Linked DNA regions of Stegostoma tigrinum. The protein of the gene in region 1 purifies or fractionates together with the protein of each later gene. This does not show direct contact. Links are inferred from orthologs where the notes say so. Each region holds a gene or a part of one and is shown on either strand. Other genes may lie near its edges.

Region 1 (7,561 bases):
TATGGACAGTAAAGGATAACGCTTTGAACATTGGGACCTGACTGATTTCTATTTGAGGTACTTTTTGTGGCAATCCAGCCTTTTGGAGTTCCAAAACACTGTGCTACCAACTGGGTCAAGTTGACACTGATTATTTAAGACATGGGGTGGCAGGAGTGCACAGGCTTTGATTTATTACAGCCTGTGACATTTTATTATTGAAATGAAATCAGAAATGCTGGTAACAGAATGGCTTGTAATTTTTGTTTTGGGTGATCTGGGTGCTTTTTCTCATTTCATTTTTGAGACTGAAAAGAGTGGTAACTTGAAGAAGTTTAATTGATACAGCTGAAAATAGCTTTATCCACACAAGGAAGTATTTTAGTCAGATCTGCCAGTAACCAGACTTTAAATAAGTGAAAATTACCATTAAAAACTATACAGAACAGTTGCTAGTTTGTTTCTGAGCAAATTACAAGAAGTCATATTCAAAAGCTTTTAAAACATTCTTATTAGTGCCCTTATGTTCGATATAACCAGCTTAATTTTAAAAGACTCCTTGAAACCTGCAAACAAGCATAATTAGCAGAAATTTCTTATGATAACCTGTGTAATGGCTAGTTTTGTGGGTAGGAAAGACTCTTCCAAATCCAGAGGGTTGCCATGGACACTTACATGGGCCCCAGCTACGCCTGCCTGTTTGTCAGTTATATTGAACAGTCCCTCTTCAGGTTCTGCCCCAACTATTCCACTGTTACATCAATGATTACATCAGTGCTGCATCCTGCACCCAGGCTGAACTGGAGCAGTCCATTGACTTTGCTAACAATTTCCATCCCGCCCTCAAATTCACTTGGTCTATCTCAGATACCTCCCTCCCTTTCTTGACCTCTCCATTTCCATTACAGACTGACATTTACTATAAACCCACAGACTCCTGTAGCTGAGATAATGGGAACTGCAGATGCTGGAGAATCCAAGATAACAAAGTGTGGAGCTGTATGAACACAGCAGGCCAACCAGCATCTCAGGAGCACAAAAGCTGACGTTTCAGGCCTAAACCCTTCATCAGATGATGAAGGGTCTAGGCCCGAAACATCAGCTTTTGTGCTCCTGAGATGCTGCTTGGCCTGCTGTGTTCATCCAGCTCCACACTTTGTTATCTTGGAGACTCCTGTAGCTACCTAGATTACACCACTTCCCATCTTGTAACCCGCAAAAACTCCATCCTATTTTCCCAATTCCTCTGTCTCTGTCGCATCTGCTCTGATGAGAAGATGTTCCATTTGAAGCATCCTGGATGTCCGCCTTTTTCAAACAACAGTTTTACTCCTGCCCCTGTCATCCAGACAGTCCTTTACCACACCTCCCCCATTCCCTGCTCCACAGCTCTTAACCACCCTCCTTCCAAACATAATAAAAGAACCGAGCAAAAACAAAGTTGCTGGAAAAGCCCAGCAGGTCTGGCAGTATTTGTGAAGGAGAAAACAGAGGTAATGTTTCATATCCGGTGACCATTCCTCATTGTTTTTTTGGTTTATATAATAAAGAAAGGGTCTCTCTTGTCCTCACTTTCTACCCCACCAACCTCTGCATCCAACATATTATCTCAAACTTCCGCCAACTCCAATCAAACCCCACTACCTGGATCATCTCTCCCCACCCCTCTCTGTCTTCCATAAGACCCATTCCCTTCACCACTCCTTTGTTCGCATCACACTCCCCAACAAACACTTTAACCTGCCCGGTACCTTCCCCTGTAACCATAAAAGATGCAACACCTGCCCACACACACCTCCCTCACCTCCATTCAGGGCTCTACATAGCCTTTCCAAGTGAGACTGAGCTTCACCTGCATCTCTTCCAACATAGTCAATTGCATCCAGTGCTTCTGATGTGGTCTTCTTTACGTTAGTGAGACCAAACGTAGACTAGGTGACTGTTTCACCGAGCATTTTTGCCGGCACGTAACAGCCAACCTAACCTCCTGGTCACCACCCATTTCAACTTCCTGCCCCAATTCTCCAACATGTCCATCCTCGGCCTCCTCTAGTGTCGCAGTGACTCGGAACACAAATTTGAAGAACAAGATCTTATTTTCTGCCTGCATGCCCTACAGGCTGGAGGTCTCAAAGCTAAGTTATACAATTTCAAATAAGTTTCTGACCCATCCTCCGGGTCCCTTTCCAGCCCCACCTCCTTCCTTCAATTCCACCTTCTGTTCCTCCTTTCCAGCTACCAGCCAGATCCATTCCTCCCATCAACTGACCAGGTTGTACTGACTATCAGTGTCCACCCATCACCACCGTTCTGCTTCCACTCGTCCGCCTCTCTTGATCTGCAGCTTCCCCTATCCCGAAGAAGGGTAATACCCAAAATGGTGACTGCTCCTTTCCTCCAGATGCTGCCTGGCTTGCTGTGATCTTCCAGCCTCTTGTTTGTCTGCCTTGGATTCCAGCAACTGCAGTTTTTTTTGTCTCTTCCCAATGTCTTGCTTTTTAAACAATTACAAGCACAGGCTTCACCAACTTCCAGCAAATTTCACTGAGAAAACCAGTATGACCGAGCAGAAAATCTGGCCAAGGTATTGGAAATGGTTAATATATGTTGATGTGTATATGGATCTTCCAAAAGAATTTGCCTAAGTATTACACAGCAGATGTGTCATCAGCATTACAGCCAATTAGATTCAAGGATCAAAGACAGTGCATACAAGTAATTTGCCAAAGGTTAAGTGTCCCATAGGGGTAGGTACTGGAACCACTGCTTTTTTTGACTTCTATGAAAGACCTAGACATGGGCATAGTGGTCATAATTTTACATTTTAAATGTAATACTCAGAAATGCAGTGAATAATAAGCTAGATAGTAACAGACTTCAGGAGGACACATACTGGTGAAATGCGCTGATACGTAGTTCATGCAGTTTAACACAGATAATTGTAAGGTGGTTTATTGTATATATAAAGAATAAAGGGAGTCAATATTAAATAAATGGTGAAATTTTAAAAGGGTTTCAGGAACACAGAGATCTAGCGGTGTACATATAGAAATCTTTGAAGGTGGCAGAATAAGTTGAGGAGGTGAGTTAAAAATCATATGGAATCCTTGGCTTTATTATTAGATGGATAGAACCAAAAGCAAGAAGGTTAGATTATACCACAGCTGCAGTATGAGTTCACCTCTGGACACATTTTAAGGATGATGTAAAGATGTTAGAGATGGTGCATTGCAATTCACTCAAGAGTCCAAGTTGTAGTCTGCAGTGGTGGTAGACTTCCTAAAGTTCTGAATTTGCAGATTAAGACTCAACATACCTTCCATGGCCATCCAGTCATGTGCTAAGAGGTGAAGCTGGATCTTCCAGGTCAGCAGCTGGGACACATTTACCCGTTGCACCACAAGACCTGAGGGCCTGACAGACAGTACAGGAAAAAAAGAAAATTTCAAGAATGGTGCCAGGCTGACATAAAGGACCTTGAAGTTTTAATAGATAATGGGATATAGAGAATGGAACTAACTAACTATCTTGTTCAAAGAGCAGGAACAGGAGCAACGTGCAAAAAGGTCTCCATTTGTGCAATATCATTCTGGGTTAGAAAATTAGTCACCACCCATAATGACACCACCATTTTGCTGAAGGCCCAACACAAACAGCGGTCACCACAGCAATGAAAGACCGGATTGATCATGGATGGCAATAACAATGTACATTTTGACAATCTACTTAATTTCTTTAAAGGAATAATTTATTTTCTAAATAAATTCGTTGTGCACTCTTTAATGGAGGCATGCTTTCAGCATAATGTTTGATGACATTGGGACAACCATTTAATTGAAGAAAAAACATGCTGACAGTTTAGGTATAACCTTGCATGAGAACGGACGTCTAGTTGTCAAACCCCGTCCGAATCTACAGACCTCTGATCAGAGATAATGGGAACTGCAGATGCTGGAGAATCCAAGATAACAAAGTGTGAAGCTGGATGAAGGGTCTAGGCCCGAAACGTCAGCGTTTGTGCTCCTGAGATGCTGCTTGGCCTGCTGTGTTCATCCAGCTCCACACTTTGTTATCTACTGATCTGTCTTTTCAATTCATTGATCATTAAAGGTTCAAGTTTCCAGGATATTCGTTTCGTTTTTCTCAAGATTTGTTTCTCTAACAATTTATTTCCATTTTCATTATTTGGAGATTTTTTTTTCTATTGCTTTGAGACTCAGGAATTCCTAACAGTTTCAACAGCAGGCAAGAAAACTGACCTTGGTCTCTCCGCAAGTTGGGGCTCGCTTTGTTGCCTCGGCAACAGCGTCGGTGCATTGGTGAAATGGTTCGCTTCCGGTTGAGAACCAGCGGAGTTCCGGTAGAGGTAGGGGGGGAGTGTAGATGATGTGACACTGAGAACTCTGGTGACATAGAGGAAAGATGAAGAAATTTTTTGAGGATTTTAAGCGGGATATAAAGTTTAAAGGCGCTGGGCCGGGTCATGCTCTGACTGAGGATACCAGGTGAGAGGGATATTGAGGAGATTTATTTTTGAAGGTTCGGGAATAAGTTCGAGGGAGAAGGGGAGCAGGCCGATTTAGAGCCACAGGTAGGAAGCCTGAAGCCCCAGCCTCACCTCGTTTGAAGTTCTCATTTCAGCGTTAAACTCGCCTCCCACTTGGAAAGGTTAGTTTTCTACGTGTGGGAATTAGTCTTTAGTCTTTCTCACTTTCTTTGATCAATGTTACCTCAGTCATATGTCTGGGTTTCGTCTACATAACACACCCATCATAATGAGGACAGAATGTGACACTATGATTTCTGTCCCTTTAAGCCAATTAAAAGACATGAAACGATAGTTAAACTTTCCCCTTATCCGTCTGTTTCTCCGAGTTACTGATTTTTCGTGGGCTGTGGTTATTGTTTGCTTTCTAGTGCCGTGTTAGATTGTTGCGTTCGACTGCCGTTTCTTGGATTGGCATGGTAAAGACTGTCGCTGAAGTTTTCAGATCACTGTTTAGGGACATCTCCCCCTCTCTCTTTGCTTGGGTGAGATCCTTAATTCATGCTTGACATATGGGCCATTAATGGTCTTACCAGTCCACATCCCCGCCAAAAAACCCTTTTATCTCCTTAGAGTCATAAAGCTGTACAGCATGGAAACAGACCCTTTGGCCCAACCTTTCCGTGCTGACCAGATATCCTAAATTAATCTAGTCCCATTGTCAGTATTTGGCCCATATCCCTCTAAACTCTTCCTATTCATGTACCCATGTAGATGCCTTTTAAATGTTGTATTTCTGCCAACCTCCAACAGCTCCTCTGGTAGCTCATTCCATACGTGCACAACCCTCTACATGAAAAATGTTCTCCCTTAATTCCCTTTTAAATCTTGCCCCTCTCATCTTAAACCCATGCCCTCTAGCTTTGGAATCTGCTACTATGGGGAAAAGACTTACGGTGAATAGTCAATCTATTAACCACATGATTTTATAAACTTCTTCAATGGCACCCCTCAACCTCTGATACGCCAGGGAATATAGCCACAACCTATTCAGCCTCTCACTGTGGCTCAAACCCTCCAACCCTGGCAATATTTTAAAAAATCTTTTCTGAGCCCTTGCAAATTTCATAACATCATTCATGTAGCAGGGACACCAGAAGTGAACACAGTTTTCTAAACGTGGCCTAACCAATGACCTGTACCGCCTCGAGATGACCTCCCAACTCCTATTCTCAATGCAGTGACCAAAAAAGGCAAATGTATCAAATGCCTTCATTATCGTGTCTACCTGTGATTCTACTTGCAAGGAATTATGGACCTGCACTCCAAGGTTTCTTTGTTCAGCAACATTCCCCAGGGCTTTACTGTGACGTGTATAAGTCCTGCCCTGATTTGCCCTGATCGTCCTCAAAATATGTATATTTGATCAACTTTTTGGTCATCTATGCTAATGTTTTCAGTTTGGATATGTAAATGTTTGGCAATTGCTGTTTTTTGAAGTCCTTTGAAGACTAGTAAAAAACATTCAATTAATTCTTCTGCCAAGTCTTTAGACTCAGATTCCCTACAGTGAGAGCGCATTCCATTCGGCCCATCGAGTCTGCAATGACCCTCCGAAGAGCATCCTACCCAGACTGACACCCTACCCCATAGTCCTACATTTACTGTGGCTAACCCACCTAGCCCACTGGAGCACCTGGAGGAGATCCGTGCAGATATGGGGAGAATATACAAACTCCACACAGACAGTTGCTAGAGGGTGAAATTGAACCTGGGCCCCTGGTACTGTGAGGCAGCAGTGCTAAACACTGAGACACTATGCTGCCCCAAGCAAGGTTAGATGCCACTAAGTAGATTACAATGCCTAACCATTTGAATGTTGTAAGACCACTAGGACCCCTTCCATCTTTATCAAGAGGAGTGCGAACCCTCTGTCCTTTCATACAACATAATTTACTTCTTTCACAATTCACTGATCAGGCTCACTTTTTTCATATTAGGCCAATGATCACTTTAACGTCTTTTTAATTAAAAATGCAGAAACTTCTATGATCTGATTTTATACTTCTTGCTTTCTCAAACACTTTTTCTTCCTTGTTATTTTAACCATTCTTTGCTTTTTTTTAAAATGTTCTCTCCAATCTTCTGACCTCCCATCTACTCTTGCAAAATTATACGCTTTTTTTAAGTTTGATGCTATCTTTAACTTTTCTAACAAACCACATATGGAGGGCTCCTCCCCTTGGAATTTTTCCTTTCACATTGGAATGTATCCATTCTATGTATTCTGAGATATCCCTTGAAATGTCTGACACTACATTTCTGTTGAACTGTCCCTTTATCATATTTGTCAGCCCACATCAGCTTTGCAGGTCATCAGTTAACCTTATCTCATTACACAGTATGAAGTCTCATTTAACCTGCTGTCTGATCAGCTCCATGACAAACAAAAACCAAAAGAATTGCAGATGCCGTAAATCAGGAGCAAAAACAAAGTTGCTGGTAAAGCTCAGCAGGTCTGGCAGCACCTGCGAAGGTAAAAACAGAGTTAACGTTTTGGGTCTGGTGACCCTTCGTCAGAACTGATACTAGCTGGGAAAATGTCAGTTTATATGTAGAAAATAGGGAGGTGGGTGGGGTAGGGAGTAAATGATAGGATAGAGCCCAAAGGGAGAGAAAGATAGTTGGACCAACAAAGGAGTTGCTTATGATCAGGGTGATTAGTTATGAATGGGGTCTTGTAGTGACTAACAACAGGGGGTGTGTAATGGCAGGCTATGTGGTAACAAGGCCTGGTATATGGGAGAGTTTAGGCCCTAAAATTATTGAACTCAATATTGAGTCCGGAGGGCTGTAGCAAAACCCAAGTGGAAAATGAAGTGTTGTTCCTCCAGCTTGCCTTGGGCTTCTTTGGAACACTGCAGTAAGGCAAAGGCACAAATGTTGGCCAGGGAGCAGGGTGGTGCGTTAAAGTGGCAGGCAACAGGTGGTTCAGGGTCTTTATTGCGAGCAGAACGTAGATGATCTGTAAAGCAGTCGCCAAGTCTACGCTTCGTTTCCCCATTGTAGACGAGACCACATTGTGAGCAGCGAATG
Region 2 (7,749 bases), on another chromosome or scaffold:
TCCTGGGAAACCTCCAGTATCGCAATGACACTACCTGCAAACTGGAGGAGCAACATCTCATATTCTGATTCAAAAGCCTACAGCCTGATGGTCTAAACATGGAGCTCACCAGTTTCAATCTCCCCAAACCCCAGCCTCATCCCATGTCCAACACTCCCTCTCATCCCTACCTCCTTGACCTGACATATCCTGTCCATCTTTTCTCCCACCTATCTCACTGACCAATCTCCACCACTGCCTATCATCTGCACTCACCTATCACCATCCCACCTACCTTCTTCAGCCCCATCCCTCCTCCATTTATTTGAGATCCCTCTCCATTTCTGAAGAAGAGTCCTGACTCAAAACATAACTTTCTTGCTCCTCCAGCTCCAGTGTTGTTTCTGACTCCAGCATCTGCAGTTCTTGCTATCTCTTCATCATGGCACACTACATCACCACACATTTTAAAAATGGATGTGTATTTACGTTGCACATTTCACAACAGACAGACAACACAGAGCACTCTATAGTTATTTTAAGTATTTTTTGAATAAAAAGGGTATTGTAATGGAGGGCAAGCAGCAACCAAATGCATGTCATAAGCCTCTATAAACAGCGATGTCATGATGCTCAGGTGTTTTTTTTGTGATTTTTGGTGACAGGTCAACTCGCTTCCTCATTTTGAATGTGCGGCACAATCTTTTACATACATCTGAATAGGTAGATGGGGCCTCAGTTTGATATTTCATCTGAAAGATGGCACCTCCAGCAATGTTGTGCTCAGAGGACTGCACTGGAGTGTAAGAAAAGCCCTGCTGACACTCAAGTCTTGGGATTAGACTTGAACATGGACATTTGACACTCAGAGGCAGGATCTTACAAACTGAACCAAAGCCAGCATTCAAAAACTTAATTCATACATGTATTTCTGGCTACAAAAATCCTATTTCAAATTGTTATTTTTTGTGTTATGTTTTCTATTACTAATCCATTGTAAATTCTTGTGCCGACTTTTGTAACTGTCCACACCATCACACCAGTGGTAGTGTTTGAGTGATTCAGTTCTGTATCTTCTAGTTTCTCAATCTTTAATGCAGACAGTGTTCCAAAGGGGTTCCTTTTCTACTTTCCAATTGGTAATGTTTTCATTTTTAAAACTATAAACATAAAATCAAGGTGTTATACAAATGGACATAAAACAGCTCCCAACCCACTGTCTGGATTACATTCCATAGAGATTTCGTTGTGGAATCTTCAAACTTTTCTGTTCTCTCCAAAAAAAAAATGCAATCTAACCAGCTGGAGTTTCCAGTAGTTCACCTTTCGTTACTGGATTTCACTCATCTCTATCTCCAATCATTGCATCTATATTCAAACTTTCTCTGAAAACTACTACTTGACATCACTGGCACAAAGCTACAGCACAGTGACCAACTTTATTTTTAATTTTAAAACATTTACGTAAATAGCTGGCACTAACTTCCTAACCCACACTTACATCATACAACAGCTGATCACTAAAGTGTCTATTTTCCAATCTCCCAACTAACTCATTTGTCACTACCATTACAGCCTTAAAACTGCAATGAAGTAGTAATTAATGTTTTAAAAAGTAAGTCACAATTTTCATTAATCTAGCACCTATAAAATGCCCACAGTACTACAAAATCATTGTGTGCTTCAATCCAGATAGATATCTTTAAACTCACAAGTTGTGTACAAGATATAATAAAGCATTTACTGAACTCTTACTACCTTAAATAAATATTTACATGCATATAGTACTTCAGATTGCAAGTAATTCATATCATTTAGACAGTCTTCAATTTGTAGTCTCTTTTCAAATGCACAAGTTACAGCAAAGCTTCTTTATTAAAACAAAAACAGGTTGTTCAAAAATATTCAGTGTGTTTCCCCAGCTTCTTCAAATTATGCAGACATATTAAAATTCCCTCCCCATGCAAAACTGCCAACTCATTCAGGGGTCTGAATCCAGAGGGCAGCAGCACTTTGGTCGAGCTAATCTTAGTGTTCATTCAGGATGGGATGAGCTAATTTACTGACCAGGGATCCTGGCCAACATGACTGAATCCAAAGTGTGTCCTTTTCTAAGTGACTGAGCAATTACGTGACCATATAATTTCAATCCTACAGTTAGACAAATTGAACGTCATTGAATGAGCAAGAAGAGCAATTCTGAATACTGACATTTAAAAGTACAAAATCCACAATGGTCGCGAAATCTGTTGCTCAACATTTGACTATGCAGCAGTGTCTAACTGCTGAAAATTGGGCAAACGGCAGAGGCCAAAAACGCAGCTTTGGCTGTGAACGAGCGCCTCATACAGACAAACAATACTGACAGTGCAACACAGAAGGATTAGGCAACTGTGGTGGCTGCATTCTCCAAAAAGTTGTGGTAGTCAACATAATGGACTAGGAAGCAATCACAACTCGATATGGTGCATCAGGCAGAGACTCAGTTTAACTGAGTAATCACTTCAAACCGGGCAGCAAAGCAAATCTACAGTCCACGCACAGACTAAATAATCAAACGTTGGTGCAAGTCATGTTGGAGGTTACATCGTGTCATTTTGTGAGTGGTCGAAAGAACCCCACATCTTTCCCCGGCCTCCAGCTGGCTGAGGCATGGAGGGAGAGGGGAGGGATCTAAACCCGATCTGCTGCCTCACTGCTCCGACACCGGAGACGTGTGGAGATGCTCCATTCCAACCCCAGGGACAGGGAGGGCCGCTGTCGGGGCCTTGGCCTGAAGCTGTCAACCCCCACTCCTCAGTCCGGGCCTGGCAGTTAAGTGGGAAAATCAGGGACCTCTCCAGTCGGTCGTGTCCCAGGTCAGGTAATAAGGACGGCCCACCAATGTTAGGCGGGAGGCCTTCAGGCCCCGAACCCGAGCAGGCTGCAAGAAGCTCGCCGAAGATGAAGCCGTTACTCACAATGTTTTCCGCCATGACACCCCCCGGGAGCGGCTCCTCGGCCTTTTACCGAAATTTGCCTTCCAACTCCTCCGCGTGTCACCACAAAACCCGTCCGATGCTGCACAGCGCAAGGTAACACTCCGTTCCGAGGTATATACGTTCCCCCTTCTGTACAACGCAGTACAACGTTGACAATGCAAAAACAAAACTTAGCAATTTACGTACAAACTACCACACGCACAGTAATTAGTTATATTTGCGCAACCTATCCTAAAATATTCCAGCAAGTTTACTTCCATTTCGTTTCCCCATAAAATTATAGAACAGTTAACAGTTTTTTGAACTTTGATACCACATATCCTAATGAGATGGACAAGTTAACATTAATTTTCTTAAACTTTGCACACCCGTTAAAAAGCAGATCCGTCGGAACATTCACCAATTGGACAACTTTCTGTGCATGATGTAGTAGAAGTGCAGTGTAGTTAACAAGATGTGCTTTTATCAAGTAAGTCCAATATTAGTCAATGTGGGACCAAAGCTTAAAACCGTGTTACAAATACCCAAGATAACAAAGTGTGAGGCTGGATGAACACAGCAGGCCAAGCAGCATCTCAGGACCACAAAAGCTGACGTTTTGGGCCTAGACCCTTCATCAGAGAGGGGGACGGAGGGAGGGTTCTGGAATAAATAGGGAGAGGGGGGAGGCAGACCGAAGATGGAGAAAAGAAGATAAGTAGAGAGGAGAGTATAGGTGGGGAGGTGACAGGTCAGTCCAGGGAAGACGGACAGGTCAGGGAGGTGGGATGAGGTTAGTAGGTAGGAAATGGAGGTGCAGCTTGAGGTGGGAGGAAGGGATGGGTGAGAGGAAGAACAGGTTAGGGAGGCAGAGACAGGCTTGGGGGGGAGGGGACGAACTGGGCTGGTTTTGGGATGCGGTGGGGGAAGGGGAGATTTTGAAGCTGGTGAAGTCCACATTGATACCATTGGGCTGCAGGGTTCCCAAGCAGAATATGAGTTGCTGTTCCTGAAACCTTCAGGTGGCATCATTGTGGCACTGCAGGAGATCCATGATGGACATATCGTCTAAAGAATGGGAGGGGGAGTTGAAATGGTTCACGACTGGGAGGTGCAGTTGTTTATTGCGAACCGAGCGGAGGTGTCGGCAAAGCGGTCCCCAAGCGTCCGCTTGGTTTCCCCAATGTAGAGGAAGCCACACTGGGTACAATGGATACAGTATACTACATTGGCAGATGTGCAGGTGAACCTCTGCTTAATATGGAAAGTCATCTTGGGGCCTGGGATGCGGGTGAGGTAGGAGGTGTGGGGGCAAGTGTAGCACTTCCTGCGGTTGCAGGGGAAGGTGCCGGGTGTGGTGGGGTTGGAGGGGAGTGTGGACCGAACAAGGGAGTGACAGAGAGAGTGATCTCTCCGGAAGGCAGACAAGGGTGGGGATGGGAAAATGTCTTGGGGTCGAATTGTAGATGGCGGAAGTAACATTATCGCAACATTTTAATAGGGAATTTACAAAATAATCATGTATGTATCATTCCTAGAATTGTGTGTAAATTTACCAAAACAGGCCATTCAGATTTATTCCAATGTTTTAACCCTGTACATGCTATGTCTTATCCTACTTCAGCTCACTGCATCAACATATCATCTATTCCCGTTCTGCTCCTGTGGAGTAAGTGGCCAACTATACCTTTATTCCACTGAGTGTGTCTGTAAGGAGTAATGCCCATCATGGTGTCAGATGATACGGAATTGGGCTCTAAATGCATTGGTTTCCCAGGGATGTCTTCTTTACCATTTTCTTATATATCGTTAATGTAAAGGTGGTTGATGTTAACTGACATGGAAGCAGATTACCTTCTATCAATAACCCAGATTTAATCTCAAAACATGTTGGCAAGTGGTGACCAGATCCACAGAACTCATGGCATATGTAAAGAAGATGCTGCCTGATCATAGTATATAAGAGATTACTGCAGATTAGAGATCTTCACAAAGAGGAGAAAATAAAATGTTTTCAGTTGCCATAACTCTTCAAGAAGAAAAATACTCAGCAGTATAAAGCTGAGTTTTATTTCTTGAAGATAGAGAACTTTCCTGGTGCCAGACCACTTGAATGTGACTCAGTTCAATTCATTAATAGGGAGCTACCAATTTGCTGGTAAGATAAATAACACTGAGAGAAAGGCCTTCTCTTGGGCTACTGGACCACATTCAGTGCCTGTGACCAGATCCTGTATTAGGTCAACTAGGACGAATGGTTTAGTTGATACCAGATTGCCATTGACCTCAAAAATATCAGATAAAGACCAAATCAGTGTATTGTTGTACGTGATCAATAGCAGTATTGACACTATTTTTATCAGGTCAGGCACAGAAAACACACTGTTAAATATGATGATGTGATCTAGTTCTTTGATTCTTATTCTAGTTAAAGACACAATCCCATCAAAGGGCAAAATTTATCTGGTAGAACAAAGAGCTAGGGAAGTCTATTGATTCTTCTATAAATAATTTATATCAGCCAGGTGCTAACTGCCAATAGGGAAGATTGAGAGATGAGCTCATGAAGGGACTCTATCAGTGTGCAAGTGTTTGATGGAGCTCTTTTGAGAAATTTCAATTTAATCAGAATCCCTGCAGCGTGGAAACAGGCTATTCGGACCATCAAGTCTACCCTCCAAAAAGCAACCCAGCCAGCCAGACAGCATTTCCCATGGTTAATTCACCTAGCCTGCACACTGGGGGCAATCTAGCACAGCCAGTCCACTTGAACTGTACAGGTTTGGACTGTGGGATGCAACTGGAGCCACCTAGAGGAAACCCCTGCAGACATGGGGGCAAATGTTCAAACTCTACACAAGCAGTTGCCCAAGGGTGGGGAATTGAACCTGGGTCCCTGGTGCTGTGAGGCAGCAGTGCTAATCACTGAGCCATTGTGCTCTCCTCTAAAATTCTGTTTTATATGAGGAAAGGCTGTGCAGTTCACCAGATTGTACTTTGCAAATAAAGCTGAGATTTTATTCTTGAAGACAGAGAACTTTCCTGGTGCCAGACCACTTGAATGTCACTCAGTTCAATTCATTAATAGGGAGCTACCAATTTGCTGGTAAGATAAATAACACTGAGAGAAAGGAGCACCATTTTCTGTCATTGTTTCTTGTCTGTGCTATTAGGATAGCTTCACATTGTCAACAATCCCACCCAACCAGCAATGCTGAGTATCATTTTAGGCTGAGTTGTGAAAAAGGGTCACTGGACCTGAAATGCTAACTCTGGTTTCTCTCCACAGATAATGTCAGATTTGTTGAGATTTTCCAGCGATTTCTGCTTTTGTTGCCAATTTAGGCTGGTTCGATAAAGTAACAATGAGGATTGTCTATTTGCTGGACAGAAGTTGAAAAACACACTGCCCCATTCTACAGTTATCAAAGAAGTAAATGCTGCCAAGTCTCAAGACATATTCTTCTGGGTGGTGGGGTGGTCTGGTGGTTCCACTGGCATGTATATCATGTTTAGTAGAAAATAAATTGGTATTAAAGTGGATACAGAGGAAAGCATAGCCATTCTTTCTGATTCACCACTATGGTCGAAGCTTAAATTCTCCACCTGTGTCCAACTAAACCTCAAGGTGTAGGAGGCATTACAATAACAGTGCGAGGGCAGATGCAGGTTATCCTTTTCTAGAATGGAATGGAGATTATTGATACTGTGTACATCATTCCCAAACAGCATTGTTCTTTATAAAACGGAGCTGTGCAGGTAACATAGAAACTTTTTTATTCCCATGCTGCAGCTGAATTTAAATAAATTCATTTCTCGACAAGAAATTGACTCCTTAATCTGCAAGCCATTTTTCATTGAAGAACCAACGTCCATAGGACCACAGGAGGATGTGGCAGATTTCTCACTTACTTTGAGGAAAGGTAGGAGAAGCAGAGAATAGGATTCACCAAAAGTAACAGTGACCTGCAGCAAAGTTACCTCCATTTGCTCTTACAGGAATGAATGGCAGAGAATGAGACTGACATAAAAGCAGACTATCCAACTGATGAAAAGGTCTGGAACTTTCTACACTGTTTGACCATAAAATTCATGACAATTTAGCCTCTGCTTTCTTTTTTGAGCCACCTCATGTCTGTTGGAAGAGGTGAGGAAGAAATGAATTTATCTGCTTTTCCAATGACCTTGCTGATTACATGCAACAAACAACTGACAGCAGCCAGCAAAAAAAGTTATCCAAGGAGGATGAAATATTTAACTTTAACTTGGATTCAGCCTTTGTTGAATATTCAGTTATTACTAATCGACAAAAGAAGTCAGTTGAAGCCTGAAAGTGAGTCTCACTAGCAAGTCATGGACAGTTGAGAAATACTTTATAAAAGCTTAAATCTGATTATCAAATTGAGATTAATGTATTAAAATAAAGCAAACAGTTCTGAAGAAGACTCATGCCAGATTCTGTTTCACCCTCCACAGATGCTACCAGACCTGCTGAGCATTTTCAGTTCTTATTTAAATCTAAAAGAGATTAGTGAAGTCAAGCCACCTAAAAAGGACTGCCAGACTAAAAGCCTAGATATTAGCAGTGACACAGAGTATTCAAGTAACAGAGCAACTGTCTGAAGGAGTACCCACATTAACTATTTTTCTTATCGCCAAGTAGATCTTTATCAGGAATGTGCCTGTTCCTAAGACTGAACTTTCTGCTCAGTGGTTAACACTGCCACCTCACAGTATCAGGGATCCGGGTGCTGTGGTTTCCTCCCACTGTCCAAAGATGTACATATTAGGTGGACTGGCCCAACTGAAA

Evidence for each region.
Region 2: the proteins of ubxn6 (region 1) and nploc4 purify together in Homo sapiens (affinity purification with western blotting; 3 studies listed by BioGRID and IntAct, with this or other methods). This does not show direct contact. The link is inferred for Stegostoma tigrinum from reciprocal best matches to the Homo sapiens genes UBXN6 and NPLOC4.

The regions. Positions count from the first base shown.
Region 1 is NC_081383.1:32,184,301-32,191,861, forward strand, and holds the start of ubxn6 (UBX domain-containing protein 6), read left to right. Parts: upstream 1-4,339; 5' UTR 4,340-4,401; coding exon 4,402-4,484; intron 4,485-4,512; exon of another isoform or gene 4,513-4,647; intron 4,648-6,292; exon of another isoform or gene 6,293-6,415; intron 6,416-7,561. UniProt on the Homo sapiens protein: May negatively regulate the ATPase activity of VCP, an ATP-driven segregase that associates with different cofactors to control a wide variety of cellular processes.
Region 2 is NC_081375.1:23,071,943-23,079,691, reverse strand, and holds the start of nploc4 (nuclear protein localization protein 4 homolog), read right to left. Parts: upstream 3,076-7,749; 5' UTR 2,955-3,075; coding exon 2,940-2,954; exon of another isoform or gene 2,359-2,939; intron 1-2,358. UniProt on the Homo sapiens protein: The ternary complex containing UFD1, VCP and NPLOC4 binds ubiquitinated proteins and is necessary for the export of misfolded proteins from the ER to the cytoplasm, where they are degraded by the proteasome.